Linked DNA regions of Saccharomyces cerevisiae S288C. The protein of the gene in region 1 binds, or shares a complex with, the protein of each later gene. Each region holds a gene or a part of one and is shown in the gene's direction. Other genes may lie near its edges.

Region 1 (9,477 bases):
TTTCGAGCTCTGCCCTCCCTTTAGATTTTTTTTATTTGCTGTTTTAATACTATAAGAATAGGACTCAGGTAATTAGAGTAACAGAGAAAACAAAAAAGAATATTGCGCTCGTGTTAGTGTTGAAACAAAAAAATACAGTTGTTCTTTACGTGCATCGATCATATAAGAAAAGGGAAAAAAGCCGTAAAGTAAAAAAATAAAGAGCTTTCCATGGCTGGTTTTTTTTCTTTTTTTTTTTTTTTTTTGAAGACTACAGCAGGTATTACCCGGAGTGAAAAAGGTTTCTCACACTAAAATTTACGTGTTCAAGACATTGAAGTTATGTATAAATATATATGAGCGTATATTATGTGTATGTCCGTTTCCATTCTGTTTAGATTTTATGGCTATAGTATTAAACTCCTATATATCAAAATGCGTCGTCGGCGGCTAGAGTTTGCAGGTTCCACTCGGTTTCGAAATTTGTCTTCAGGGCGCCAAGCTTGTTAATGATGCTGTTACAGGCGTTTTTCAAGGCATCCTTCGGGTCGTAGCCCTCGGTGGTCTGTATTCTCAGCTTGAAACGAGCGAAGAAGGGATGCTCAACCTTGTAAGCGGCAAACAGCACTTTTCTGTCGTTCAGAAGTTCTGCACGAATCAGGTTTCCCAACGTGTGGTCCTCCTTCTCAAACGTTATCACTACTGCGTTGGGGGCTTTGGTGTCGGGGTCAATCTTTAGCTTGGATTCCCCTTCACCCAGAAGGAACAGTTCGAATCTGTCTGGAGCATTCATGATGCAGTTGTGTCCAAATGTATCTGGTTTGGTGGCTACGTAGCTATCTATTTAGGCTGCACGGCTCAGTTCTCTCGCTCTTCTTTTAACGGACCTCTTGTGTGTGCCAAAGCAGTGAACCTAGAATTTTCGCGGACACTTCCACTTTATTAAGTCCGGGTAATGATAATATTGAGCTTGCAAGTTTTTTGAACTCGGATAGCAGCATTATCCATGACATGACACGGATCTACCGACGAGGCTTACCGACGAGGCTTACCGACGAGGCTTACCGTGATCCCTCTCCAGTAGTCTGTAAATTCTGTTTATAATTTAAAAAATCTATCTTCTACTCCAGTCTTGTAACTACTGTTGTTACGCGCTGCCCAGAGTGTGGCACACACTGCGGGGTTACCCGTGTAACGTAGAATAAACCAGTACGGGTAATGATATCGGATTTTCTAGTGATTTTTTTCCATTCGCAAAAAAGTCGCCTTCATTTTGCAGTTCTTCAGCAAACGTGATTTGCAAAACAACGGTTACTCCCCTTCCCTATTACATTTGTCTTCCCTTTTTCGCACCAGCATTGCTAATATTCGAGGCACCGTACCTAACTAATCAGCTCATTCACGTACCACATATTCTTTGTTACTTCCCTCCCTCCACAACAGGCTACGCTATTGACCGCTTTCAGTATAGTCTCTTTACCCTTTTGTTGTGTTCGTTTGAGGTTATTTGGAAAAGGACAAAATATCTAAGAAACAAGTTATACATTGTACAAAAATGTCACAGGTTTGGCATAATTCGAATTCGCAATCAAACGATGTGGCTACTTCAAATGACGCTACGGGTTCCAACGAAAGAAACGAAAAAGAACCGTCCCTCCAGGGAAATAAGCCCGGTTTTGTTCAACAGCAGCAACGGATTACTTTACCCTCGCTATCTGCCTTGAGTACTAAGGAGGAAGATAGAAGAGATTCCAATGGCCAACAGGCTCTAACTTCTCATGCTGCTCACATATTAGGTTATCCTCCCCCACATTCAAATGCTATGCCCTCAATTGCAACTGATTCAGCATTGAAACAGCCCCACGAGTATCACCCTCGCCCTAAATCTTCGTCCTCTTCTCCCTCTATAAACGCTTCGCTTATGAATGCTGGTCCAGCTCCCCTCCCCACAGTGGGAGCCGCCAGTTTTTCTTTGTCGAGATTTGACAATCCATTACCGATAAAAGCTCCTGTTCATACAGAGGAACCAAAAAGTTATAATGGTCTTCAGGAAGAAGAAAAGGCGACGCAACGGCCTCAAGATTGCAAGGAAGTTCCCGCTGGTGTGCAGCCTGCTGATGCCCCTGACCCTAGCAGCAACCATGCAGATGCTAACGATGACAATAATAACAACGAAAATTCTCACGATGAAGATGCTGACTACAGACCTCTAAACGTGAAGGATGCCCTATCTTACCTCGAACAGGTCAAATTTCAATTTAGTTCGCGTCCGGATATCTATAATTTATTTTTAGATATTATGAAGGACTTTAAATCTCAGGCAATAGACACACCGGGCGTTATTGAAAGAGTATCCACTTTGTTCAGAGGTTATCCAATTTTGATTCAAGGGTTCAATACTTTTCTACCCCAAGGCTATAGAATCGAATGCTCCTCTAATCCGGACGACCCCATTAGAGTTACTACACCAATGGGTACTACGACAGTAAACAATAACATCAGTCCATCTGGTAGAGGTACAACGGATGCACAGGAACTTGGTTCTTTTCCAGAAAGCGATGGAAATGGTGTTCAACAGCCCTCCAATGTGCCAATGGTGCCTTCGAGTGTGTATCAATCGGAACAAAACCAAGACCAACAACAATCTTTGCCTCTTTTAGCTACTTCTTCTGGTTTACCTTCAATTCAACAACCTGAAATGCCTGCACATCGCCAAATCCCACAAAGTCAATCTTTAGTGCCTCAAGAAGATGCTAAGAAAAACGTTGATGTCGAATTTAGTCAAGCCATAAGCTACGTTAATAAAATTAAAACTAGATTTGCCGACCAACCTGATATTTACAAGCATTTTCTGGAAATACTACAAACTTATCAGCGAGAGCAAAAGCCAATAAACGAAGTCTACGCACAAGTGACGCATCTTTTCCAAAATGCTCCTGATTTACTAGAAGATTTCAAGAAATTCTTGCCGGACTCTTCAGCTTCTGCCAATCAGCAGGTGCAACATGCTCAGCAACATGCTCAACAACAACATGAGGCCCAAATGCATGCACAGGCACAAGCTCAGGCTCAGGCACAGGCACAGGTGGAACAACAGAAGCAGCAACAGCAATTCTTGTATCCAGCTTCGGGCTATTACGGCCATCCTTCTAACCGAGGTATTCCACAGCAAAACTTGCCTCCTATAGGAAGCTTCTCGCCTCCAACAAACGGTTCGACCGTACATGAAGCCTATCAGGATCAACAGCACATGCAACCACCCCACTTCATGCCCTTACCATCGATCGTTCAACACGGGCCAAATATGGTACATCAAGGGATAGCGAATGAAAATCCACCTCTATCAGATCTAAGAACGTCTCTCACTGAACAGTACGCTCCTTCTAGTATACAACATCAGCAGCAGCACCCGCAAAGTATTAGTCCTATAGCAAATACGCAGTATGGTGATATCCCTGTTAGACCGGAAATTGATTTAGATCCTAGCATTGTGCCTGTGGTCCCTGAACCCACTGAGCCCATCGAAAACAATATATCGCTTAATGAGGAAGTCACTTTCTTCGAAAAGGCCAAGAGGTATATCGGCAATAAACATTTATACACTGAGTTTTTGAAAATTTTAAATTTGTACTCTCAAGATATACTTGATCTTGACGATTTAGTGGAAAAGGTAGATTTCTACTTGGGTTCCAATAAAGAACTATTTACGTGGTTCAAAAACTTTGTTGGCTACCAAGAAAAAACCAAATGTATCGAGAATATTGTTCATGAAAAACATAGATTGGATTTAGATTTATGTGAGGCATTTGGCCCAAGTTACAAGAGGCTACCAAAAAGTGACACTTTCATGCCATGCTCAGGTAGGGATGATATGTGTTGGGAAGTCTTGAACGATGAATGGGTTGGACATCCTGTATGGGCTTCCGAAGATTCGGGATTTATTGCTCATCGTAAAAACCAGTATGAGGAAACACTATTCAAGATCGAAGAGGAAAGACATGAGTATGATTTTTACATTGAATCAAATTTAAGAACTATTCAATGTTTGGAAACAATTGTAAATAAGATCGAGAACATGACTGAGAATGAAAAAGCCAATTTTAAACTGCCTCCAGGTCTTGGCCATACTTCAATGACTATTTATAAAAAAGTGATAAGGAAAGTTTATGATAAGGAAAGGGGGTTCGAGATTATTGATGCTTTGCATGAGCACCCTGCAGTGACAGCCCCAGTCGTTCTGAAAAGGTTAAAGCAAAAAGACGAAGAATGGAGAAGAGCTCAACGTGAATGGAATAAAGTTTGGAGGGAGTTAGAACAGAAGGTTTTTTTCAAGTCATTAGATCATTTAGGCTTAACATTTAAACAGGCTGACAAGAAATTATTAACTACAAAGCAGTTGATATCAGAGATTAGCAGCATCAAAGTTGATCAAACAAACAAAAAAATTCACTGGTTAACTCCTAAACCAAAGAGCCAGTTAGATTTTGATTTCCCTGATAAAAACATTTTCTATGATATCTTGTGTTTGGCTGACACTTTTATAACCCATACCACAGCCTATTCTAATCCCGATAAAGAAAGATTGAAAGATTTACTAAAATACTTCATCTCTTTGTTTTTTTCTATTTCTTTCGAAAAAATCGAAGAATCGTTGTACTCCCATAAGCAAAACGTGTCAGAATCTAGCGGATCTGACGATGGCAGTTCTATTGCATCAAGGAAGAGGCCCTATCAACAAGAAATGAGTTTACTTGATATTTTACACAGGAGCAGATATCAAAAGCTAAAGCGTTCTAATGATGAAGATGGCAAAGTTCCCCAGCTCTCTGAACCACCCGAAGAAGAACCTAATACCATTGAGGAGGAAGAGCTCATCGATGAAGAAGCTAAAAATCCGTGGCTAACTGGGAATTTAGTGGAGGAAGCAAACTCTCAGGGTATTATCCAAAATCGCAGTATTTTTAATCTATTCGCTAATACGAATATTTACATATTTTTCCGTCATTGGACAACGATTTATGAGCGGCTTTTGGAAATTAAGCAAATGAATGAAAGGGTCACAAAGGAAATCAACACAAGGTCGACAGTTACTTTTGCCAAAGATCTAGATTTATTATCGAGTCAACTTTCCGAAATGGGACTAGATTTTGTTGGTGAAGACGCGTACAAACAGGTTTTAAGACTGAGTAGAAGGTTGATTAATGGGGATCTTGAACATCAGTGGTTTGAAGAGAGTTTGCGGCAAGCTTACAATAACAAAGCGTTTAAACTCTATACAATTGATAAAGTCACCCAATCGTTGGTAAAGCATGCTCATACCTTGATGACTGACGCTAAAACTGCGGAAATAATGGCTTTGTTCGTTAAAGATAGAAATGCCTCCACCACGAGTGCGAAGGACCAAATTATCTATCGCTTGCAGGTGCGCTCACATATGTCCAACACAGAAAATATGTTTAGAATAGAGTTTGATAAAAGAACTCTGCATGTTTCCATTCAATATATTGCACTTGATGATTTGACACTAAAGGAACCAAAGGCAGACGAAGATAAATGGAAATATTATGTAACATCGTATGCTCTGCCACATCCAACAGAAGGCATTCCGCACGAGAAACTGAAGATACCATTTTTGGAAAGGCTCATCGAATTTGGACAAGATATTGATGGAACAGAGGTAGATGAGGAGTTTTCCCCCGAAGGCATCTCTGTATCGACATTGAAAATTAAGATCCAGCCTATAACCTACCAACTGCATATTGAAAACGGGTCTTACGATGTTTTTACCCGTAAGGCTACTAACAAATATCCTACTATTGCTAATGATAATACTCAAAAAGGAATGGTTTCTCAGAAGAAGGAGTTGATATCAAAATTTCTAGACTGTGCAGTTGGTTTGAGAAATAATTTAGATGAGGCTCAAAAATTAAGTATGCAAAAAAAATGGGAGAACCTAAAAGACAGCATAGCAAAGACGAGTGCTGGAAACCAGGGAATAGAGAGTGAAACCGAAAAAGGTAAAATTACGAAACAGGAGCAGTCGGATAATTTGGACAGCTCTACTGCAAGTGTACTGCCTGCATCCATTACTACTGTACCACAAGATGATAATATAGAAACGACTGGGAATACTGAATCTTCAGACAAGGGGGCTAAGATTCAATAAGTAGTTTTAACTAGATTTAGAACAAAAATCTTTAGTACGACAGGGTCTTTCTTCTGATGTGTACCTTTAATTAATGTCAACGATATAACATTGTAATTTTAAAATTCTAAGTGTTTTTGAAGCTTTTTAAGACACATCGATCTTTCCATAAAGGAAGAAGTGATAACATGCAGTGGTTATATTTGTGTACTCATACACTGGTGCATGAATCTTTTTACACGTCATTAGCATAGTATGTAATCGAAAGGACACTATTTATAAGGGACAGTTTATACATACATATACTTGATATTCCCATGAATGAGTATTCTATTCCATATCAACATCCACTCCAAAATCGTCTAGTGATTCACCCCAGTCGTTGTACCACTTCTCACGAGAAGCATGTCTGCCATTTTGAGGAAGTCTGGTCCTTATTAGCTGTTCGCCACTTTCATTACGCATCTCTATTGTTGAGCTGCCATGATTGAAGACGGTGTTTGTTTTACCTCCATCTGGTGGCCAGGGAAGTGAAAGGATGTGGTCTTCCAATGAGGAGTTAGCCTCATATTTTGAAATACCGTTTTTTGGAAAATTGTTCCCATCTCCCGTAGGAACACCATATGGCCATAACCATAAATGAATGGGACCAAGGTACAGTAATGCATTAGTGTACAAATCAAAATCGTAAGGGAAATTTACAAGTTCATCAAAACGTGGCCTTTTTTTTGTCAAGTGTTCCTCAGCATCCTTTTTATTTTGAAACGACCTCGACTCTGGATATATTCTCCAAGTATTATCAATTAATTTCTGAGTTAATCTTCCGGAGTTGAACAAAGATTCTAGCCGATCCATATCCCACGACTCAATTTGAGATCTTCCATTCAAGATTTGATTGAATAAACATCGTAGGAAAAGAATTGTTATCGTTAGTAGGACAAAAGAATTTAAAGGACTCGATATTGTTAAGAAAATCAGTTCTGATTTTTTGAAGAAGTAGCCAGGCAAGTGCCTTTGTTGCCAAATAAAATATATCCGCTTAGCTTGTATGCAAAATAAAACACTAGTCGTCACTATGATCCAAAATAAGAATCTAAGGAAATGCGGATAGTTTGCAAAGCCGACGCAATTCATCGTCCACGGACAATGATGATCCATCATTAGGACGCATTGATTGCAGGTTTTACAATGATGTGAACGTTCTGGCTTATAACTTTGGCACTTCTTACAGAAATTCCGCCAGATATCAGGGGGTGGTTTGTAGTTGGGCAAAGGCCTTCCTGGATTTGTGCAGATGGCCAAGTAATAGGAGAGCCATATCATTGACAAACAGAACTCAAATGTTATTTGTTTCGGAACTGACAAGAAATTGGATAAAATAAAGTAGTGTGCACCATAGCCTATAAATGAAATCAGAAACGTTGGTATAGCAATTCCTAACCAAGGCCACCTTAACTTTACTGGCATGGTTTAACGATCAACTCAGTTTTTAAAATTCATGTTATACACCATCACCACAATGTAGGGACGATAATTATCGTATCTCAGATCCGCTATTTTTCATAAGCGCGTAGTAAGAGAGGTAGGTTTAACAGGATAATAAAAATATACATGAGACAGCCAATAAATAGTGGAAATAAGCCGTATTTTAAATTGAGAGCTCTTAGTAAGAAAAATGTTCCTCTGAGACGCTAAAGTCGTGTATATTTCATATGAGAAAGTGCACAAATCCTGCTTCCCTTCTATCTGGGAATTTCTTTTCTATATTTGAACATATTATTGTAAGGGCCTTTTTCTTTATTCTCTTCTCACATATAAGAACCATTTTATTATTTTAACTTTAAAACTACTTTCTATATAAATCCTACGTTTTTTCCAAATATCTAGGAGACAATCCCGTTCTCCATCTTTATATGGACTAACTCATAACTATTTAATAAACCTCTCAAGTGGCACAATGCCGCAATAACAACTAGAAAATGGAAAAGTTGGTGAGAATGACCCCAAATATCAAATTTACCGGGGCAAATCTTTTCAGGAAACCGCATTCCATAAAGAACAGCGCCAATTATATATAGGACACCCCCAAGTAATACCCAAAAGAGCTGAATTTGGGTCCAAATTTCTGAAAAACTATAGCAGTAAAGGCCGCTGAATATTGGAATAATTGAGGATAAACCAAAACAAACAAATAGCCCAGCTCTGTAAGGTCTCCACTCTCTTTTCCGAAACTTATCTTTTAGTGACACAATACTACACGCGATCCCAAAGCTAACGGTAATAAGCGCAAATAGGCAAAATAGGGAAAATTTCTCAAAATAGCCGTAGTACAAAATACTGACCATTGACGTAACAATCAATATACAAATACCAAGGTAGTCCAACTTATTTCCTAAGGTAGCAATTCTTAAGGAGTGACTCTTTAGACAATGAAAGGAGCTACTCAATATTAAACATGCAAACGCCCCCGAATAAAAGAGGTCGATTACCATATGATCTAGCCATGTAGTTGTTGCAAACACTTTGATAGTAGATTTATCTAGCAACAGTACAGTGAAGAACCCGAGAGCAGGAATTAAATGTGAATAAATATTGACACTTTCATTATGCAAATAAAACAAACTTTTAAAAGTTTCAATGAAGCTACTAGTTTCTTTCACGTATCCATGTAAAATAAAATCATTGTCTCTTTGCCATTCCGGAATTTCATCCCAACTATATAGCCTTCTTAGTACTTTTTTAGCTTTAGCGACCTCTGCGGGATTTGCGGATGTTTTCCCTGCAGCTCTCTTCTTCAGCTCTTGCACACTCTTAGTCCTTTCTAATAAAGTTGACATTTGGAATGATTCTTCTCCAACATGCAGCATAATTAAAACGACGGGAAATTTAGTACATTTGGCTCAAGGAACGCTGACATAAATACTATTTCTAATCTACTATTCGAAGAGATGTTGGATTTCTAAAAAAAAAAGAGCTCAACAACGGAAGACCGCCTATTAACCCCGAGTGTCTGTTTTTTAGTATACTCGAAGCAAACAAGAAAAGTTTGTTACTTAATTTCTGGCCTAAACAAGGTAGTGCTACCCTAGAGGAAGTACGATATCAGTACACTTTTGTATTTTTAACGAATTATGGTATTCTTTAAAATATTTAACATGCTATCGAGTTTTTCTTTCTAAAATGCGGTTTCAAAATTTGAGTCCGCTTTCTATGGAAAATATGAATGAGGCGAACGTGCTTGTACCATAGTCAGATTTTAACCCGTAGGTGAGAGCCTGAGGCTTCTGTAAACCACCTTGGAAACACATACGGGTTATAAGATTTTAACAAACAATCAGTCTCCATACTCATCC
Region 2 (7,055 bases), on another chromosome or scaffold:
AACCTTTATTCGCATACAACGCCAATGAAACAAACCTGTAATAATTTTTCATAGTTAACCCATTGATGATACTTATTAAAATATGTAATCAAATCGTCACTATTACGGTGCTTTATTAAGATGTCCGTACCACCTGGATGGAACTTCAAATAACTAGAAATGTCATAGACTTTGCCGTTTATAACGCACCATAACTCGTCCTCACCTTTACAATGCTTCTTTACGATTTTTCTGTTTATTCTTAAGGGTGGCATTATTTTATAAAGGGGTATCTTTTGGACAAGCAATTGGTTCTTCAGTTGTGAAGGTGAAAACTTGAAGTTATCTTTTTGAAATACCGGATCATCGAGTAAATCCTGGATAAGCTGTAGCGAAACGAATTTTGTATAATAATTCGCTGGATTGGAGGTTAGAGAGTGCCAGTCCAGAGCACTGTGCCCAGGATCTAGTCTTATTTTGGTTCTTACAAGAGGCTTTCTTGACGACTTCGACATGGGCATATGCAGCGGGGATGATATGGCAGGATGAGCAACGCTTAGTCGCTGAGGAGCAGCGAATCTGACATTTGGTTTCGAGTTTGAAACATCTCTGTTCATGCCGTCACTACTCATATCTCTATGAGTGTAATCTAAGCACCTGCTAATATGTTATATTCTGCTTATTCGTCCTTTTGCTACACATAATTAATGTAACTTTAACTCTAGTTCTATAAAGGATATGATTTGTACTAAATGTAACATTATACGAAAAAACATATTATTCGTTTATATAAACTAATCAAAGAAGTCGTCATCATCTTCGTCGTCATCATTTTTAGCATTCTGCTTGTCAAATGAATTCAGATCTTCGCTGAAATCTTTCCGTTCGAAGATAATCTTACTGTTATTTTGTGAATTTTGTTGCTTGGCGATACCATTCAAGATTGAAACAATTTCAGCTTCAGTGATTTTATGAGTGACGTTGTTTGTAGCAATCAGTTTCTTTAAGTATGTCTCTACTGCTTGGGCCCTGTCTCTACGGACCAAGGCCACTCGAGATAATCTTTCTAAAGCTTGTGGCTCCAAGAAATTTGCAATAGCTGCACCAACGGGAGCGGAATTTTCACCTCCACCATTATTAGCACCGCTATTTCTATCGCCGTTGGTACCCCCACTGTTGTTTTTCAACTGAGCCAATCTGGCTTCCCTAATAGCTTGTAACTCTGGGTCCATATCTGAGCACACACTTCCTCCTGAATTGTAATCCAGAGAGCAAGAAGATTTTTCAACTTTTACTCTTGGTTCTCCTTGTAGAACCACAAGTGGTATAAAAATTCTCGCTTACCCAGCCCAAAAATTCTCATCTGTTTCTCATCTGTTTCTCGTCCGAATAAGTTTCCCGTTCGCAGCTAGGATTTCACCTGCTCACCATAATAGGCAACTTTCTTCCTCATGTAGGAAATTATACTATTGCTCTCTGTTGCAAGGTTATTTTTGAGCCTTAATACCATATTAGTAGATATAAATACATATATATCGTGTTAACCCATAAGTGGTAGTTTTAGTAGCTCGCTGCAAGATCTGCCTCATTCCTTTGTAGAGAACGACGTACCCACTACGCGTTTGAACATTTGCAACAAGCACGAGAGGAAGGAAGAAGAATACCAAGTATAAACGAGAATAATCACCATAGAAAAACCTATAAAAGACACTTCCATTACCATCTGCTAATAATAATACAATGGACACCAGCAAGAAAGATACTACTAGGTCGCCCTCACATTCCAACAGTTCTTCTCCTTCATCTTCTTCTCTCTCTTCATCTTCTTCCAAAGAGAAAAAACGTCCTAAGAGACTATCCTCCCAGAATGTAAATTACGATTTGAAAAGGAGAAAGATCATCACTTCTGAAGGTATAGAAAGATCATTCAAGAACGAGCATAGCAATCTTGCAGTTGAAGACAATATCCCGGAAGAAGAACCCAAGGAACTTCTTGAAAAGGACTCCAAGGGTAATATCATCAAACTTAATGAGCCATCCACCATCTCGGAAGATTCGAAGGTATCTGTCACTGGATTGCCGTTAAATAAAGGTCCTTCTGAGAAAATCAAGCGAGAGTCTCTTTGGAATTATAGAAAAAATTTGGGAGGCCAATCGAACAACTCAGAAATGACGCTGGTCCCCAGTAAAAGATTTACTCAGGTGCCGAAAAATTTTCAGGATTTGAACAGAAATGATTTGAAAACGTTTTTAACTGAGAACATGACTGAAGAGAGCAATATACGGTCAACTATTGGTTGGAATGGCGATATAATAAACAGAACTCGTGACCGTGAACCTGAAAGCGACCGCGATAATAAAAAGCTATCAAATATTAGAACCAAAATAATACTTTCAACGAATGCTACCTATGATTCAAAAAGTAAACTATTTGGCCAAAATTCCATCAAGTCAACATCGAATGCGAGTGAAAAAATTTTCAGGGACAAGAACAATTCAACCATAGATTTTGAGAATGAAGATTTTTGTTCGGCTTGTAATCAGTCAGGTTCTTTTTTATGCTGTGATACATGCCCCAAATCCTTTCACTTTCTTTGCTTAGACCCACCAATTGATCCGAACAACCTGCCTAAAGGTGATTGGCATTGTAATGAATGTAAGTTTAAAATCTTCATAAATAACTCAATGGCAACTTTAAAAAAAATTGAATCCAACTTCATTAAGCAAAATAACAACGTCAAGATTTTTGCTAAATTACTTTTCAATATCGATTCCCACAACCCAAAACAGTTCCAGCTACCAAATTATATAAAAGAAACCTTTCCTGCTGTGAAAACGGGTTCGAGAGGACAATACTCTGATGAGAATGATAAGATTCCATTAACTGATAGACAATTGTTTAACACTTCTTATGGCCAAAGCATAACTAAATTGGACTCTTACAACCCGGATACACATATAGATTCAAATTCAGGTAAGTTTTTAATTTGTTACAAATGCAATCAAACCAGACTAGGTTCATGGTCTCATCCAGAAAATTCAAGATTAATAATGACTTGTGATTATTGTCAGACTCCATGGCATTTGGATTGTGTACCGAGGGCTTCTTTCAAGAACTTAGGTTCAAAATGGAAATGTCCTCTACATTCCCCAACTAAAGTTTACAAAAAGATACACCATTGTCAAGAAGATAATAGCGTAAATTATAAGGTGTGGAAAAAACAACGATTGATAAACAAGAAAAACCAACTTTATTATGAACCTTTACAAAAAATAGGCTACCAAAATAACGGGAACATTCAAATCATACCAACAACTAGTCATACAGATTATGATTTCAATCAAGATTTCAAAATTACACAAATAGATGAAAATTCCATTAAATATGATTTTTTTGATAAAATTTACAAATCAAAAATGGTTCAAAAAAGAAAACTCTTTCAATTTCAAGAAAGTTTAATAGATAAGTTAGTATCAAATGGATCCCAAAATGGCAATAGCGAGGATAATATGGTCAAAGACATAGCCTCTTTAATATATTTCCAAGTTAGCAACAACGACAAGAGTAGTAACAATAAATCGGCTTCCAAAAGCAATAACTTAAGAAAATTATGGGATTTGAAAGAACTGACTAACGTAGTCGTGCCGAACGAACTAGATTCTATACAATTCAATGACTTTTCCAGCGATGAAATAAAGCATCTGTTATATTTAAAGAAGATTATCGAATCCAAACCAAAGGAAGAACTGTTAAAATTTTTAAACATAGAAAATCCCGAAAACCAATCCGAATAGAAACGGCGTACATACATAAAGAATAAATCAGGAACGTGAACACCTTCCTTACATATATACACACATACATAGGCATATGTATCGCATCTTAAAGTGAGAGATCTACCTATTTTCCTTTTTTTTCCATTTACAACATAGCAATTGATGTTTTTTTCCCTTCTAAGTCATCTCGATGTCATCATCTTCATCGTCTTTGTAGTCAACTTCTTTCCTGACCCTCAATTTCTTCATCACAATATTTTCGTGCCCTTTCTTGGTTTCATTTTTGTTAGACGGTGAATAACTGTCATCATCACTGTCTGATTCTCGATCCCCATCACCTTCTTCGTCGTCAGCCTGTGATCTCGCATGATGAACTTTCTTCTTTTTTTTTTGTGATTCATTGTTTTCGTGAGCTAATAACCTCTTTTGAAGCCTTTGTCTTTGAGTTTGTGACGTGTGAAGAATCCGTCCGATTTTAGCTTTTATATTGTTTTGTATTTTTTCAGTCAAGCTCTCTGGTATGTATGTTTTGAAAGATAACTGGGCCTCCTGAACCGTTGCAAAAGGTTTGAACAAATCTGATGGTAAGTTTAATTTACCTGGATATGCTGAATGTTGCCAATTTTTCTTCTCTTTTAAATTCAATAGAATCATTTGCGACAGCTCACCTATGATATACATTTTCTGACCGTAAGGTCTATGCTTCTTTGGCGCTTCTTCTTTTTGTGGTCCTTCTTCTTCATCAATTTCATCCTCAACTAACTTATCTTGATAGTTTTTTACCCTTTCTGATAAATAATAGAGCAAACTGAAGTTCTCTTGGGCGGCAATAGAGTCAAAGTAAAACAGCAAATAATCAATCGCTGTTGTTAAAGCATTTAGATATGCGTCTCCTTCGGAATCTAAACCTCCCACAATATCAGGGTGATGTGCAATCGCATGTATCAACCTAGGCAAAGCTCTTTCAAATATCGTCCCTTTTTTAAATGATTTTAAGCCAAATGTAAAGTTTATCCATATCTTCGTTGTGGTTTTCAGTTCGACATCTGGTTCATAAGCAGTAAAAAATACTAGTGGTAGGAACTTTATGGAAATCAGTTCATTAGCAACATAATCTTTCAGTTGTTCCAAAAATGTTTTTCTTACTGGCAGCGATTCATCTTCAACCAAATTAATTAATTTAATAATGTCCGAAGGTTTGATAAAGTTGTTCAAATTAGAAATCCTGGCCAGTTTTAAAACTTGAATTCCTGCCACACACCTCAATTTTGTTTGATAATTACTGGGGGTGGGATAAAACTCCTTGTTAAACTCGGAAATCAGCTCACCACCACTTGCAATCAAGTAAAAGAATAACTTCATAGTTTTTTCGGTGAAACTTTCTGCCAATTCATCTCGTGGAACATCCGGAGCAATTGATCTCAATTTGTTGGTGAACAGCTTTAAAGTAAACACCTTATTACCTATTGCAGAATATTTCGTGTCACTTAATAGAGAATCTTCTACCCAGTCAATTTCTTTTTTTGAATCACCAACGACCTGGTTTGATAATAGAACTTCTTTAATTAGGTATGATATGATATCAGTGGAATCATCATTTAGGACGTGAGGGAATTTTTTAAATATTTCCATGAGTACAATAATATGAGATGTAAAATACTTGTCTTTTTGCAAATCTAAAGGTAGGATACGTATTTTTATCTTTTTCAGAGTTTCTTCAGCTTTGGGCGATAAAGCGATAAGTTTTGTGGCGTATTTCGTTATTTCTGGTTTACTTTCAACTGCAAAATCGTATAATTTGGTGAAGAAAAACGTGTCGTCAAAATCCACTTGATCCTTTAATGTTTTGGAAGCCTTGTAAAGGGTTTTTAAAGCTTCTTCCAATGACAAGTTATCATTTTTTTCTGCATCTGGATCATCCAAATCCTTGATAATGGTTTTTAATGTTCTAATCTGATCTTTAAATAATGTGGGATTGACTTTCGATATATCATCCAAGATTCTTCTTTTCAAATCCAATTGTTTTGCGTCAGAATTATTAGATAGGTTCAATAAAACACTGATGTTGGATACATTATAAATTATTGGTGAGGCTCTAAAAAGCAAAATTTGTATTACCTTGGCGATATCACGTGGCATAATGGAAGCACCAGTAGATATATTATATTTTTTAAATAGTCCTGGCGTTTGTAACTTACTGACCAATTCATTGTAACAATTTTTAAAAGTAAGAAACGGAATATCGTTGGTGACACAGGCATTTAATAAATAAAAGATTCTTTCGTCGTTAAATTGTTTTATTGTTTCGAGGGCGTCGATTGCTTTCGTAGAGTCAGAAAGGCCAGAAGCTAACCACTGGAGAGTTTGGTTGTACTTGTTCATTACAATAGGACCTTGAGACGAGCTCATACTTTCTTGATTGTTCAAAAATTTACTAAAATCAATATATTTGGATATAGCGAAGGATATTTTGATTTGTCTTGCATTGAAAGCGAAAAATGAAGTGAATGCCTTCTTATCAAAATGTGACAAAACCGTTAGCAGTCTGTGGACTCTTTTATCGTTATCTGGTTCAAACGGTAGTAGGTATTCGAAAATTACGCTGTCGACTTGTTCATTGATGTTTAAATCATTGATATAATAGAGATTGTATAAAGTGGATGGTATGGTGTCTATGATTTCCCAAATTTCTTTATTTTGGTATGTCCTTTCGATCTCATTCAATGAATTTGAGTAAAACTTGGCCATAGTGTTAATGCAGAGTTCCCTAACCTCCTTATGTTTTTCTCGGGCCAAATGAAGTAAAGATGTATAAATGGCTTTATTGGTTATATTTTTCCAAATTTCAGTAACGGGAACTTTATTAAAAATCATAACAGAAGTCCTGCGTACACGAGGATCAGAATCAATAAAGGTTTTTGCCAGTGCCTGATTCAGTTCTTTGGATATGTCTTCTCTCGTGGCAATGATTTGAGGAATTGATTCTGTCCATTCTACTCTAACATCGGGACTAATATCAGCAATTTTGGAAATCCATGCCTTGAACGTATCGGAATGTGTAGAAACAAAATTTAAATCCGAATATGAGGTAAGTATTTGACCAATTAATTTTGTAGCTTCTTTTCTGAAAAGCTCGTTTTCCGAAGATAATTCGTGGTATATAAATCCGATTACTGCATTGATCAGTTCGGGTACTGTTTCCCAAAGTCTCAATACCAGTTTATGTAATTTCACTACCACAGTGAGAAGTCTTGAATTATTGTCATCATTAGTTGCTTCATGAATAATCTCGGAATAGT
Region 3 (6,089 bases), on another chromosome or scaffold:
GAGCAAACAAATCACGGATACGTTTAGCACCAACACCGACGTAAACTTCATCAAATTCAGAACCTGACATAAAGAAAAAATCTACACCAGCCTCTCCGGCAGTGGCCCTAGCCAACAAAGTTTTACCTGTACCAGGAGGTCCAGTCAACAGTACACCCTTTGGTAGTTTACCACCCAAGGACTCGTACTTAGTTGGATCTTTCAGGAAATCAACAATTTCTTCCAATTCCGCACGGGCCTCATCACAACCGCAGACATCATCAAATTTAACATTTGTCTTAGCTACATCAACTGATTTGTCGGCTACTTCTGACGACTTTAGTAGCGTTGTATTTTCTGTGATGTATTTAAAACCTTCAGAAAAAGAGTAGGTTAAGATACCGAAAACAAGCAGCCACTTTACCCATCTCGATACAACAGTAAAAGTTGATTCAGATACGACAACATGTAGTGGCTCTTTGCGAGATCCATAAAGCGGAGAATACATCGATGGAAAGTTACCATGATAACCTGACTGGTTTGATGAAGATGACGCCAATGATGGGTTAACTGCGCCAGCAGAGCTGGCTGTCAGTAGGTTTTGTCTAACGGCATCAGCCTCCGAGTGTCTGCCTATCCTCTGCAGGGCCTCCATGTACAGTTCCATGCATTCAGGCGATGACGCAATACCGGGGGTCTCAAACCTAGAGACCACGTATTGCGGGTAGTTTGATTGTAAGAGAAGTTTGTAAAAGGCTGCTTGTGCATCAGGACTCGTTAAGTCTTTATTGGCCTCTTGTTCTCTAGTTGCTAGCATAGCATGTGACACAGCTACGTTCGCTTGTTTGGTTTTATCATTAGTGTTCGATGGAGGTGGTGGTTGCGAATTGTCGATTGAAGATATCGTGGATTTATTGGATGCCTTTCCAGAGCTATCAGCTTCCTTCTTAGGAGGCATTTCACCGCTATTCTTTTCAGAATAAAAACGGTAGAACTTCTTTGATCTTAAGGCCCATTTTTTTTGAACTAACAAAGAAGCACCGATTTGAGGTAGCCTGGGAGCAAATATGCGTAAAACATTTGTCGTGACCGTGGGCGACACAAGTATTTTTGAAACGTTCATCTATCACGTCTCTGTTTTCGTTCTATCCACAATGTATTATAATTAAAAATTGCTTCAATAAAATCCTGTTTATCCTTTAAGCTGTGCTTGCTTTTTACTTATCAAAAACGCAAGGTAGAGATTTAACTCACTTCACCAACTCCGATATATTGCCTTTTCACTACCGCTACAGCGTACAGGAGCTACCACTCCTCGAAGAAAGAGGTACCATGTGATTCGAGATTACTAACCAACCGATGCTGATAGAAAAAGGTGGCGAAGATTGGGGGCCGTTCCTCCGGCGATCGCCACATATCGCATTTCACGAAAGATGAAAATAAAGATGCATCCGAAATCCCGACCAGAAACGTAAAAGGGTATATTGCAAAACAGTCGTTAAAAGCATATAGCATTTTGCATTAGCATCTGTGAGGCCTCGTCACTGGATTTACCCTATTGAAGAACGTATAATGGTTGATTTGGAGCAGGAATTTGCGCTCGGTGGGCGGTGTCTGGCATTCCATGGTCCTCTTATGTATGAAGCAAAGATCTTGAAAATATGGGATCCATCTTCGAAAATGTATACCAGCATTCCTAATGACAAGCCAGGTGGTAGTTCACAAGCAACTAAGGAAATAAAGCCACAAAAGCTGGGAGAAGATGAAAGCATTCCAGAAGAGATCATTAATGGGAAGTGTTTTTTCATACATTACCAAGGCTGGAAGTCGAGTTGGGATGAGTGGGTTGGATATGATAGGATACGGGCCTACAATGAAGAGAATATTGCCATGAAAAAAAGACTGGCGAACGAGGCGAAAGAAGCTAAGAAATCGTTACTGGAACAGCAGAAAAAAAAGAAGCTCTCCACTAGTCTGGGAGGGCCTAGTAATGGTGGAAAAAGAAAGGGAGACAGCCGCTCGAATGCTAGTATAAGTAAGAGCACTTCACAGAGTTTTTTAACATCTTCAGTGAGCGGCAGGAAAAGCGGAAGAAGTTCCGCTAATTCCCTCCATCCTGGCAGCTCTTTGCGCTCGTCATCCGACCAAAATGGGAATGATGACCGCAGAAGATCTTCTTCGCTATCGCCAAATATGCTACATCATATTGCCGGCTATCCAACCCCCAAGATTTCCCTTCAAATTCCCATAAAATTGAAGAGCGTGTTAGTCGACGATTGGGAATACGTAACGAAGGACAAAAAAATTTGCAGACTACCCGCTGATGTGACGGTAGAGATGGTACTGAATAAATACGAACATGAAGTGAGTCAAGAATTGGAATCGCCAGGGTCCCAGTCACAGTTGAGCGAATACTGTGCCGGTCTCAAGTTGTATTTTGACAAGTGCCTGGGTAATATGCTTTTATATAGGTTGGAACGGCTGCAATATGACGAACTTCTGAAAAAATCATCGAAGGATCAAAAGCCACTAGTACCAATTAGAATTTATGGGGCTATCCATCTGTTAAGGTTGATAAGTGTTTTACCAGAGCTGATCTCGTCTACTACAATGGATCTACAAAGCTGTCAGCTTTTAATCAAACAAACCGAAGACTTCTTGGTTTGGTTGTTGATGCATGTGGACGAATACTTCAATGACAAGGATCCAAATAGAAGTGACGATGCTCTGTATGTAAATACGTCTAGCCAATACGAAGGAGTGGCTTTAGGTATGTGAGACGTTTATATTCTAGCTTGGGATTATTTCTAGTATTTAGTTCTTCCGTATTTATGCAATAACTCTTCACAGAATATCTCGTGTAAGAATATGGACACTGTTCGTGGCACTTTACGAAATTCAAGTTTATTCTCTTTGCAAGGTTCTTAGGGTAATGGCAGCTCTGAAAGGGGCTTGTCGAGTTAAAACATCATTAATGATTATATTTTATTTTTGTTATTTTTCTGACGTATCCATCGTTTCGCATCTAGTATGAGCTTACTAAGAGCTTCGTATATAATGTACTATCATCTTCACTTACTCGTTTGCACACTACCAAGTTCTGTCCAGGGCTCCTTGTTTTATATTTTTAGTGTAATTGCATGGTCTATGCAACATGATTAAAGCAGCATCACACGCGCCATTATATAATCTAAAATAGTCCGTTGTCGTGCGCATTCTTCTGTGGCGCGTCTTATATGAGAAAAGGGTCTTTCGAAGTCATTAACCCTCTGACGCAGCAAAAAACAACTTTATGCAGGGTTTACTTCATACAGAAAGACACTTGCTTGTTGTCAATGGCTAAAAAGGACCTCAGGCAAAAGCGTAGGATAATTACAAGTTGTTCGAAAAGGAGTTGTTTATATTTATTCATCGCTCAATGCAGAAGCATAACAATTGTAATAACACTCATTATAGATAGAGCTTGCATTAAATACACGTCTATCCTTTCAACCCAAGGCATTTGAAGGAAAGGAATGAAAAAGAGGAAACGTTTGATATTCGTCAGGCTATTACTTGACTATGAAACATGTACAGGTTGGTCTACTGCTGTAAAAAAAAAAAAAAGTCCTTAACTCGCTTATTTAAGGGAACCATTATTTTCGGGGATTGTAAATTTACTGACTATGCAATGAGTTTAACAGGCTGATCAATTATGCCCTAGCAAAAAAAACTGAAATGATGCACCTCGAACTCTAGTGCATTAGCTTGAAGCTTTATTCTCCTGCTAAAAAAAAAAAAAAAGTACTAATTTGCTTGGAAGCGAGCACCCTATTGCTTTTAAAATTCTCCATATGGGCTTCCCCACCTACCTCTTAAAAGTTATGTCATCGGTCTTGAATTGTTTCCAAAGACCTTCCGCTTTATCAATTCTTTCCTCGTATATCAGTGTCCTCTAACAAGACTACCGTGCTTTTTCGTGGATTTCATGTAGGAGCCAATCGTTTTTAAGAAAAATTACTGTCAAGGTAGTTTGAGAAGAAATTGCGAGATATCACATGTGCGCTTTCCTTCTCCACTGATCGAATTACAGTAAGACTTTTAAAGATTCTAAGTAATTAGAATAGTTAACTGTTTTTTTTGTTTTTTTTTTTTTTCGTTCTGCTTTATTTTTTTATTTTTTTTGTGAGTTGCGAACAGCTTCTTTAATAGTTTTAAAGGCTGTATTGAGATTCTAGGACTCATCTACTATGTTTATAATTATAAAAAGTGACCAATAAAGCAGTGAAGCTAGCTCTTAATATTGGCAAAAATGCACGGCAAAGAGTTGGCTGGCAGGCTCCGGAAAAGGGAAAATGATAACGATTTATCACCAAATTCAAGCTCTTCTCCTGCTGAAAGATTTAGGTGTCCACATCCCGAATGTAATAAAACTTTCTCACGTCAGGAACATTTATCAAGACACAAGCTAAACCACTGGCCGAAAGAGATATATGTTTGTTCTTACGTGCTTCCTACTACAAATGCGCCTTGCAATAAAACGTTTGTAAGGAAAGATTTACTGATCAGACATGAAAAGAGGCATTCAAAGGTGAAAAACAGATTAAGTCGGCCAAGCAAGGACCAGATTTCCTCATCAAATAAGGACTTCTCCAAAAATGCACCATATAATCCCAGTGAAGTACCCCTTTCTACGCAAAGTGGAACTTCTACGATTAACTTAATAAAAAATTCTGTGAATCCACCACCATCTATCACACAAGAATCAAAATTTCGTCCTTTTCTTCAACAGGCTCAACAACCTCAACAGGTTCAGCAATCACAACAACCACAACAAATTCAACAACTGCAGCAACTTCAATTCCCGCAGCAACTGCGGGCACCATTGCAACAACCTATGTTGCAGCAACAAATGCATCCACAGCAAGCAAGTCCTACTTTTCCATCGTATGATCCTCGAATAAGGAACAACGGTCAAAATGGTAATCAATTTTTTAATTTGATATTTGATAACCGTACAGGCGTTAATGGTTTTGAAGTGGATGCAGCGAATAACAACGGTAATGGCAATGACCAAAATATGAATATCAATCCAGCCGTGCAGCAGCAACGATATCAAGACAGAAATTTTGCAAGTAGTTCATATCAGCAGCCACTCCAGCCACTTACCCAGGATCAACAACAGGAACAGTACTTTCAGCAGCAAAAGCTTGCCCAACAGCAACAGCAACAGCAACAGCAACAACAACAACAACAACAATTACCACCCCAGAATCCATTTGGAGATCCATTAACATCTTCCTCTAGCGGTGCTAATTTGTCAGTTATGCAGGACCTTTTTTCTACAAATTTTTTGAACAGCGACCCATTACAATCTTTCATGCAAGAACTTTCTGAAGCCCCGCAAGTAAGTATTGAAGATACATTTTCTGACAAGAATACAATCCCACCTAATGAAAAACCTGTTCAACAAGACGAAGGGTTCCAGAATCCTCCAGTTATGTTTGAGTTACCACAAGATAACATTAAAATTCCCAAAGCACAACCGAAGTTCAACGATAACCCCAGTACTTCAGTGAAGGACAATCTTTCCAGTCAGAAGCTTAATATCAACGAGCTAAAACGGAGATCATCTAAAGATTCAGGAGTAGGAAACAATTCCTCTCTGAACTACAAGGAACAGTTGCGTCACTCTATGAAAAGTGTCCCGTCATTTTTCCATCCGGATCCCTTAACAAAGTATAAGATATCAAAAGAAAAATGTCAAGAAATGTTTTCATTTGTTCCAGAATTACGCTATGTCTCTATTGAATCTATACACAAATCGTTAAAATCCTTCTGGTTGAACTTCCATCCACAATACGGTCTGCTTCACAAACCCTCTTTTCACGTTGATAAACAGCCTGCAATTTTGAATTTGGCACTAATTATGACTGGCGCAAGTTTTTTGGGAAGCGAGTATCGTGAACAGATTAGTGACCCAATTTGTGGTCCTCTAAGATGGATAATTTTTTCTCATGCTGATTTTCAACCACCTTCTAAAACCTACATCATTCAAAGTTTATTATTAGTCGAAGGATATGAAAAAACAAGTACGAACAGGTATTTACATGAAAGGTCTTTTTTACATC
Region 4 (5,904 bases), on another chromosome or scaffold:
GTGGACGTATCTATTCTGGGTCAGATTATCTTCTGAATCATAGTCAGAGTCGTATTCTTCTTGTAAGTGGGTTGTGGCACCGATGATAGTGTCTCCATCAGCATCAAGTTCGAATCCTGGGAAGAATCTTTCAGTTAGTGCGGTTGTCTGGTAAGCCTCTTCCATGGCGTCTTTTAATGTCTCTGGTTTGTGCATTCTGACAATATTATAGGTTTCCTTTGTCAATAGCCTAGTATATGTCATTATGGCAGCTTTTTCGGTCATGAAGTCTGGTGGCATTCTGTCCCAAATCTTTCTGAATCGTTGGTTGAGACGCTCAATACCAAGTTTAGCTTCGGAAAGTTGCGTGATTGCATTAAAGATTTTATTGATATCTGGTGGCTTATAGAAATGTTGATATAATCCTTGTATGAATGTGTCGAATGTTATTTCAAGTATACCTTGTTCTTGTACAAAATCATTAGCCCACTGAGCAGCGGGGTTTAATAAATGTCTTCTGCAGTACACAATACGACTGGCATCATTCGGCCAAGATATCATAGACATGTTTAGCATTATTTCGGAGATAAAGTTTTTCAGTTTATGCGAGTCATTTCTACCTCTGAAGGTCAAAGATGGTTGGATCGGGAAGTTAGGAAGGCATTCTACTGGGAGTTTTGGATAATTTCCTCCTCCTGGGATTTGATCCATAAAGCTCATACTGGGGTGTGGTGTAGCTAGGTTCGGCTTTTCGATGGTTCGTTTGAACAATTAGTAACCTTTAACGCTACCAGGTGTTGTATTACGGGCTCGAGTAATACCGGAGTGTCTTGACAATCCTAATATAAACAGTCTTAGGGAAGTAACCAGTTGTCAAAACAGTTTATCAGATTAATTCACGGAATGTTACTTATCTTATATATTATATAAAATATGAATCATACTAAGTGGTGGAAGCGCGGAATCTCGGATCTAAACTAATTGTTCAGGCATTTATACTTTGGGTAGTTCAGCTAGGGAAGGTCGGGTTTTGTCTCATGTTGTTCGTTTTGTTATAAGGTTGTTTCATATGTGTTTTATGAACGTTCAGGGTGACGTATTGTCATACTGACATATCTCATTTTGAGATACAACATGTTCCATGATATGGAAAAACGTATACCAGTGCTACAAACCCTGTTAACAATTAAATTCTTATTACTTCTTGCACAAAGATGCTAACACTTTACAGCTTTGAAAGTAACAGGAAGAAGTGATGCTGTGACAATTAACAGGGTATTTTTTTTTTCACTTCTACTTAAATCGGAGTTACAATTTATGATAAAAAAATCAAGAAAAAAACCTGATTATGCTAAGAAAGTAGAGGCGACGATGACCACCTATGGCCTAACCTAACTATGAACAGATGGTAGGCTCTAAATTGCGTGCCTGAAATCTGCGGATTTGATATGTAGGCGATGTTTTGGGTATTTTCCACCAACTTTATTGGCAAGGGAAGAATTCGATGACCCGAATTCGCCAAACGACAAAAACTGGAGGAGTGACCTATTGTTAACGTTTTTTTTTTTTTTTTAAAGGCATTGTCATCAACAGGACATCTGTATAAGAGGCTAAGACAATTACGCACACAACGCTTTTATTAGTTGTCATAAACTGTGTAGATTAGCAGCAGACACTCCTTTTTTTCTTCATACTATAGCAATGCCACCTCTACCCGTGCTCAACAGACCTCAAATTCATACGTCTGTTACTGAAATAAGTCATGCAATTGATCGTACAATCAAGGAAGAGCTCTTTCCCGTTGCCTACACTACTGAAGAAGAGCAATATTTCAAAACTAACCCTAAACCTGCCTATATCGATGAATTGATTAAGGACGCTAAAGAGTTTATTGATTTGCAGTATTCCCTGAAAAGGAACAAAATAGTTCTTATCACCTCTGGTGGTACTACTGTTCCATTGGAAAACAATACAGTACGTTTTATCGATAATTTTTCTGCAGGTACTCGTGGTGCATCGAGTGCTGAACAGTTCTTAGCGAACGGATATAGTGTTATTTTCTTACATAGGGAATTCTCATTAACTCCGTATAATAGGTCCTTCTCCCATAGCATTAATACTTTATTCTTGGACTACATTGATTCTGAAGGTAAAATCAAACCTGAATTTGCTGAGAATGTTTTGAAGAACAAAAAGCTTTATGACAAGTATATGGAGAAAGAGGAGAAACTACTTTTACTACCATTCACCACGGTCAACCAATACTTATGGTCACTGAAAAGTATAGCCAAGCTATTGAATAATAGTGGTTGCTTGTTTTATTTAGCTGCTGCTGTCAGTGATTTTTTTGTTCCATATTCAAGACTACCTCAGCACAAGATTCAATCAGGAGACAACGGTAAGATGGGAGCAAATAATGACACTGAAGGTACAACTAGGACTACGCCTGATGGTAAACTGATTGTGAATCTTGACCCTGTCCCTAAGTTTTTGAGAAGATTAGTGGAATCATGGGCCACTCAAGCGATGATCGTTTCGTTCAAATTAGAAACTGATGAATCCATGCTGCTTTACAAATGTACACAAGCCCTGGATAGATACAACCATCAACTGGTTATCGGAAACCTTTTACAGACAAGAAACAAACAGGTCATTTTCGTATCCCCTGAAAACAGAAAGGGAGATTGGGTACGTTTGGATGAAAAACACCATAGCATTGAAGAGATGATAATCCCAGAAGTCATCGCACGCCATGACAAATGGGTGGCGCATTCGAAAACTAAGCTAGCTACGAAATAAAACATAGCTCTTGTCTGTAATCAAAAAAATTTGCGTCAAAAAAAAAAATTAGATGTATGTAAACCTTTTTATTGAACTGAAAATTTATCTTTTATCAAATCTTTTTCTTCTATGCCTTAATTATGTTTTCAGGTATCTTTTTTCTCATTATTTAATTTAGCTTATGTATTGATCATTTCGCTTGAGATTTCAGGAAGAAAAAACGCAAACAATTTTTCAGCTAAAATGAACCCTTGGAAAAGCTTTAAGAGAACAAGAGAAACTGTAGAGCTCAGTGTGCATTGTCTTCAAGATTGATGGCTATTCAAAAGGTTAGTAACAAGGACTTGTCCCGCAAGGACAAAAGAAGATTTAATATCGAATCTAAAGTTAATAAGATTTATCAAAATTTTTACTCAGAAAGAGATAATCAATATAAAGATAGACTGACAGCATTGCAAACGGATTTAACTTCTCTGCATCAAGGTGATAATGGCCAATATGCCCGCCAAGTACGAGATTTGGAGGAAGAAAGAGATCTAGAGTTAGTCAGGTTGCGCCTGTTTGAAGAGTACCGTGTTTCTCGTTCCGGTATCGAATTTCAAGAAGATATTGAAAAGGCTAAGGCTGAACACGAGAAACTCATTAAATTATGCAAAGAAAGACTGTATTCGTCTATAGAGCAAAAAATAAAGAAATTACAGGAGGAGAGGTTACTAATGGATGTGGCCAATGTGCACTCCTATGCCATGAATTATAGCAGACCGCAATACCAGAAGAACACGAGAAGTCACACAGTAAGTGGTTGGGATTCTTCGTCCAACGAATATGGAAGAGATACAGCAAACGAAAGTGCTACTGACACGGGAGCTGGAAACGATAGAAGAACGCTAAGGAGAAGGAATGCTTCTAAAGACACGAGAGGTAACAACAACAATCAAGATGAATCTGATTTTCAAACTGGTAATGGTTCTGGAAGTAATGGCCATGGTTCTAGACAAGGGTCGCAATTCCCCCATTTCAACAACCTAACCTACAAGTCAGGCATGAACTCTGACTCAGATTTTCTACAAGGTATAAATGAAGGTACTGATCTATATGCATTTTTGTTTGGCGAAAAGAACCCCAAAGACAATGCTAATGGGAATGAAAAGAAAAAAAACCGTGGTGCTCAACGATATTCCACCAAAACAGCTCCACCTTTACAGTCTTTGAAACCAGATGAGGTCACAGAGGATATTTCCTTGATCAGAGAATTAACAGGTCAGCCTCCGGCTCCTTTCAGACTAAGGTCTGACTAATTTATTTTATGCTGCAAACCTTCCACTTTAACTTTGTATTATATTACATTAGATGGTTATATTTCAATGTGAGCTCTTTTTGTTTTTGCTTTCTTTTCTCGGATACAAGTGGAAAACGAAAAAAAAAAATTGGCTAAAATTTACTGTATACATCAGGCTAACAATCTGTGATTATAGGCACAGTTGTACCAAAGAAGGGCTAGAATATACATCATAATTAGATGCAATTAGCATGGCTATAAGATTGAATCCAAAAGTCAGAAGGTTCTTGCTGGATAAGTGTCGACAAAAACGATATGGTTTCCTCTTTTTAGGATGTATCTTCGCCATACTTTACTGTATGGGGACCTGGCCATTTTTCGCAAAAGATATTGTACATGATCCAAATAATTTGCCTTATTCCTTACAGGATTATTCGACTGACAAAGACGAGCCATTTTTCCGGGGCTGCACTGATACAAAGCTGTACTTGCAAAATCCTGCTTACTCCAAAATGAACGCATCTTTCGTTATGCTAACGAGAAACGAAGAAATAGAAGACGTACTGAAAACTATGAGAAGTATAGAGGGCCATTTCAATAAGTGGTTCAAATATCCGTACGTTTTCTTGAATGATGACCCCTTTACAGATCATTTTAAGGACCAAATTCAAGCTGCAACTAATGCCACTGTAGAGTTTGGCACTGTTGATGAAATTATGTGGGAGTTTCCTGCTAAGGTTCGTAATTCATTGCAGTTTAAGGCTTCATTAGAAGACCAAAACGATCGCGGTATAATGTATGGTAATATGGAATCATATCACAAGATGTGTCGATTTTACTCCGGGATCTTTTATAAACATCCATTAGTTTCCAAGTATGAATGGTATTGGAGAATAGAACCTGATGTGGACTTTTTTTGTGACATCTCGTATGATCCCTTTTTCGAGATGGCCAAACATAACAAGAAATATGGGTTTACCGTACTTATAACTGAACTGTACTGGACTGTCCCCAACTTGTTCAGAACAACCAAAAGCTTTATAAAAAAAACGGCAGGTTTAAAGGAAAATCTCGGCACGTTGTGGAAATTATTTACATTTAATTATAATATTCTAGATACAGATGATGAAGAAATTTCTAGGTGGGTCAATTTTCCCTGGGATGCAAAGCCAAAGTTGACAGAAAAGTTGATGGTAGACTTTTTGCTAGAGAATCATGGTCAAGTCAATAATGAGGAAGATTTGGAAGGTATACAATATCTCGTTGAAAGGGCCCGCTCTAAGGTGCCAATGCTAGAGGATTCCCTTGAAGGGGAAGATTACAATTTGTGTCATTTTTGGAGTAACTTTGAAATTGCCCGCGTTGATTTATTCGACAATGAGATCTATAACGCCTATTTTAAATTTTTGGAAGAGTCTGGAGGTTTCTGGACTGAAAGGTGGGGTGACGCGCCAATTCATTCAATTGGGTTGGGAATGACCTTGGATCTAGAAGACGTTCATTATTTCAGAGACATTGGTTATAGACACTCATCGCTGCAGCATTGTCCGAAGAATGCCTTACAAAGCCAAGAAAATCTCAACACTTTCGATGAAGGTTATAACTTCGGATGTGGATGTCGATGCGTGTGCCCCAAGAAAGGTGAAGACATCGAAGACCACTCCACCCCTTGCATGGATATTTTTTTTGAATTGCTTCACGGCAGGGAATATGAGAAGGAATTCCCTGGTTGTTACAAGCCCTCCATAAAGGACAAAGACGTGATTGAAGAGATCAGAAGAGAAAATTTTAGAGTAATTGAATAGATACAGTGTTTTCTATACATTTATACGTATGAACAAAATTATAAAAGAGTCTACCAACTT

The links.
Region 2: the proteins of SIN3 (region 1) and RCO1 are in contact, whole or in part, in a cryo-EM structure (PDB 8HXX), measured with the Saccharomyces cerevisiae proteins. Residues at the interface, in NP_014639.1 of Saccharomyces cerevisiae: Ser661 (codon at 3,515), Leu662 (codon at 3,518), Glu665 (codon at 3,527), Val666 (codon at 3,530), Tyr675 (codon at 3,557), Ile676 (codon at 3,560), Leu681 (codon at 3,575), Thr683 (codon at 3,581), Glu684 (codon at 3,584), Lys687 (codon at 3,593), Ile688 (codon at 3,596), Asn690 (codon at 3,602), Leu691 (codon at 3,605), Gln694 (codon at 3,614), Asp695 (codon at 3,617), Ile696 (codon at 3,620), Leu697 (codon at 3,623), Asp701 (codon at 3,635), Lys705 (codon at 3,647), Asp707 (codon at 3,653), Phe708 (codon at 3,656), Tyr709 (codon at 3,659), Gly711 (codon at 3,665), Ser712 (codon at 3,668), Glu749 (codon at 3,779), Gly769 (codon at 3,839), Ser790 (codon at 3,902), Glu791 (codon at 3,905), Asp792 (codon at 3,908), Ser793 (codon at 3,911); in NP_013791.1 of Saccharomyces cerevisiae: Lys82 (codon at 1,963), Leu84 (codon at 1,969), Leu85 (codon at 1,972), Ile93 (codon at 1,996), Ile94 (codon at 1,999), Lys95 (codon at 2,002), Leu96 (codon at 2,005), Glu98 (codon at 2,011), Pro99 (codon at 2,014), Ser100 (codon at 2,017), Thr101 (codon at 2,020), Ser103 (codon at 2,026), Glu104 (codon at 2,029), Lys107 (codon at 2,038), Ser109 (codon at 2,044), Val110 (codon at 2,047), Thr111 (codon at 2,050), Leu113 (codon at 2,056), Pro114 (codon at 2,059), Leu115 (codon at 2,062), Asn116 (codon at 2,065), Lys117 (codon at 2,068), Gly118 (codon at 2,071), Pro119 (codon at 2,074), Ile123 (codon at 2,086), Lys124 (codon at 2,089), Glu126 (codon at 2,095), Ser127 (codon at 2,098), Leu128 (codon at 2,101), Trp129 (codon at 2,104).
Region 3: the proteins of SIN3 (region 1) and EAF3 are in contact, whole or in part, in a cryo-EM structure (PDB 8KC7), measured with the Saccharomyces cerevisiae proteins. Residues at the interface, in NP_014639.1 of Saccharomyces cerevisiae: Phe751 (codon at 3,785), Lys756 (codon at 3,800), Arg757 (codon at 3,803), Leu758 (codon at 3,806), Pro759 (codon at 3,809), Trp782 (codon at 3,878), His785 (codon at 3,887), Val787 (codon at 3,893), Trp788 (codon at 3,896), Asp792 (codon at 3,908); in NP_015348.1 of Saccharomyces cerevisiae: Asp242 (codon at 2,275), Lys243 (codon at 2,278), Pro379 (codon at 2,686), Asn380 (codon at 2,689), Arg381 (codon at 2,692), Ser382 (codon at 2,695), Asp383 (codon at 2,698), Val388 (codon at 2,713), Asn389 (codon at 2,716), Thr390 (codon at 2,719), Ser391 (codon at 2,722), Ser392 (codon at 2,725), Glu395 (codon at 2,734).
Region 4: the proteins of SIN3 (region 1) and SDS3 are in contact, whole or in part, in a cryo-EM structure (PDB 8HPO), measured with the Saccharomyces cerevisiae proteins. Residues at the interface, in NP_014639.1 of Saccharomyces cerevisiae: Ser661 (codon at 3,515), Leu662 (codon at 3,518), Asn663 (codon at 3,521), Val666 (codon at 3,530), Lys809 (codon at 3,959), Glu813 (codon at 3,971), Glu816 (codon at 3,980), Tyr817 (codon at 3,983), Tyr820 (codon at 3,992), Ile821 (codon at 3,995), Leu825 (codon at 4,007), Arg826 (codon at 4,010), Ile828 (codon at 4,016), Gln829 (codon at 4,019), Cys830 (codon at 4,022), Glu832 (codon at 4,028), Thr833 (codon at 4,031), Asn836 (codon at 4,040), His857 (codon at 4,103), Lys869 (codon at 4,139), Val870 (codon at 4,142), Tyr871 (codon at 4,145), Arg875 (codon at 4,157), Glu878 (codon at 4,166), Ile879 (codon at 4,169), Ala882 (codon at 4,178), His886 (codon at 4,190), Val889 (codon at 4,199), Thr890 (codon at 4,202), Val893 (codon at 4,211); in NP_012182.1 of Saccharomyces cerevisiae: Arg18 (codon at 3,126), Ile21 (codon at 3,135), Glu22 (codon at 3,138), Val25 (codon at 3,147), Leu75 (codon at 3,297), Glu76 (codon at 3,300), Val78 (codon at 3,306), Arg79 (codon at 3,309), Leu82 (codon at 3,318), Phe83 (codon at 3,321), Tyr86 (codon at 3,330), Arg90 (codon at 3,342), Ile93 (codon at 3,351), Glu94 (codon at 3,354), Ser289 (codon at 3,939), Lys291 (codon at 3,945), Thr292 (codon at 3,948), Ala293 (codon at 3,951), Pro294 (codon at 3,954), Pro295 (codon at 3,957), Leu296 (codon at 3,960), Gln297 (codon at 3,963), Ser298 (codon at 3,966), Leu299 (codon at 3,969), Pro301 (codon at 3,975), Glu303 (codon at 3,981), Val304 (codon at 3,984), Thr305 (codon at 3,987), Asp307 (codon at 3,993), Ile308 (codon at 3,996).

What each region holds. Positions count from the first base shown.
Region 1 is NC_001147.6:315,404-324,880, forward strand, and holds SIN3 (transcriptional regulator SIN3), read left to right. Parts: upstream 1-1,534; coding exon 1,535-6,145; downstream 6,146-9,477. Other genes in the region: DNA-directed RNA polymerase II core subunit RPB11, read right to left, coding at 410-772; palmitoyltransferase PFA4, read right to left, coding at 6,455-7,591; IZH2 (PAQR-type receptor), read right to left, coding at 8,008-8,961. UniProt on the Saccharomyces cerevisiae protein: Catalytic component of the RPD3 histone deacetylase complexes RPD3C(L) and RPD3C(S) responsible for the deacetylation of lysine residues on the N-terminal part of the core histones (H2A, H2B, H3 and H4).
Region 2 is NC_001145.3:412,263-419,317, forward strand, and holds RCO1 (Rco1p), read left to right. Parts: upstream 1-1,719; coding exon 1,720-3,774; downstream 3,775-7,055. Other genes in the region: IRC21 (Irc21p), read right to left, coding at 6-611; SDD2 (Sdd2p), read right to left, coding at 774-1,211; YMR075C-A (uncharacterized protein), read right to left, coding at 3,426-3,791; sister chromatid cohesion factor PDS5, read right to left, coding at 3,934-7,055. UniProt on the Saccharomyces cerevisiae protein: Catalytic component of the RPD3C(S) histone deacetylase complex responsible for the deacetylation of lysine residues on the N-terminal part of the core histones (H2A, H2B, H3 and H4).
Region 3 is NC_001148.4:605,494-611,582, reverse strand, and holds EAF3 (Eaf3p), read left to right. Parts: upstream 1-1,551; coding exon 1,552-2,757; downstream 2,758-6,089. Other genes in the region: i-AAA protease YME1, read right to left, coding at 1-1,102; SDD4 (Sdd4p), read left to right, coding at 4,271-6,089. UniProt on the Saccharomyces cerevisiae protein: Component of the NuA4 histone acetyltransferase complex which is involved in transcriptional activation of selected genes principally by acetylation of nucleosomal histone H4 and H2A. The NuA4 complex is also involved in DNA repair.
Region 4 is NC_001141.2:200,430-206,333, reverse strand, and holds SDS3 (Sds3p), read left to right. Parts: upstream 1-3,074; coding exon 3,075-4,058; downstream 4,059-5,904. Other genes in the region: phosphopantothenate--cysteine ligase CAB2, read left to right, coding at 1,681-2,778; KTR7 (putative mannosyltransferase), read left to right, coding at 4,291-5,844; YIL086C (uncharacterized protein), read left to right, coding at 5,873-5,904. UniProt on the Saccharomyces cerevisiae protein: Component of the RPD3C(L) histone deacetylase complex (HDAC) responsible for the deacetylation of lysine residues on the N-terminal part of the core histones (H2A, H2B, H3 and H4).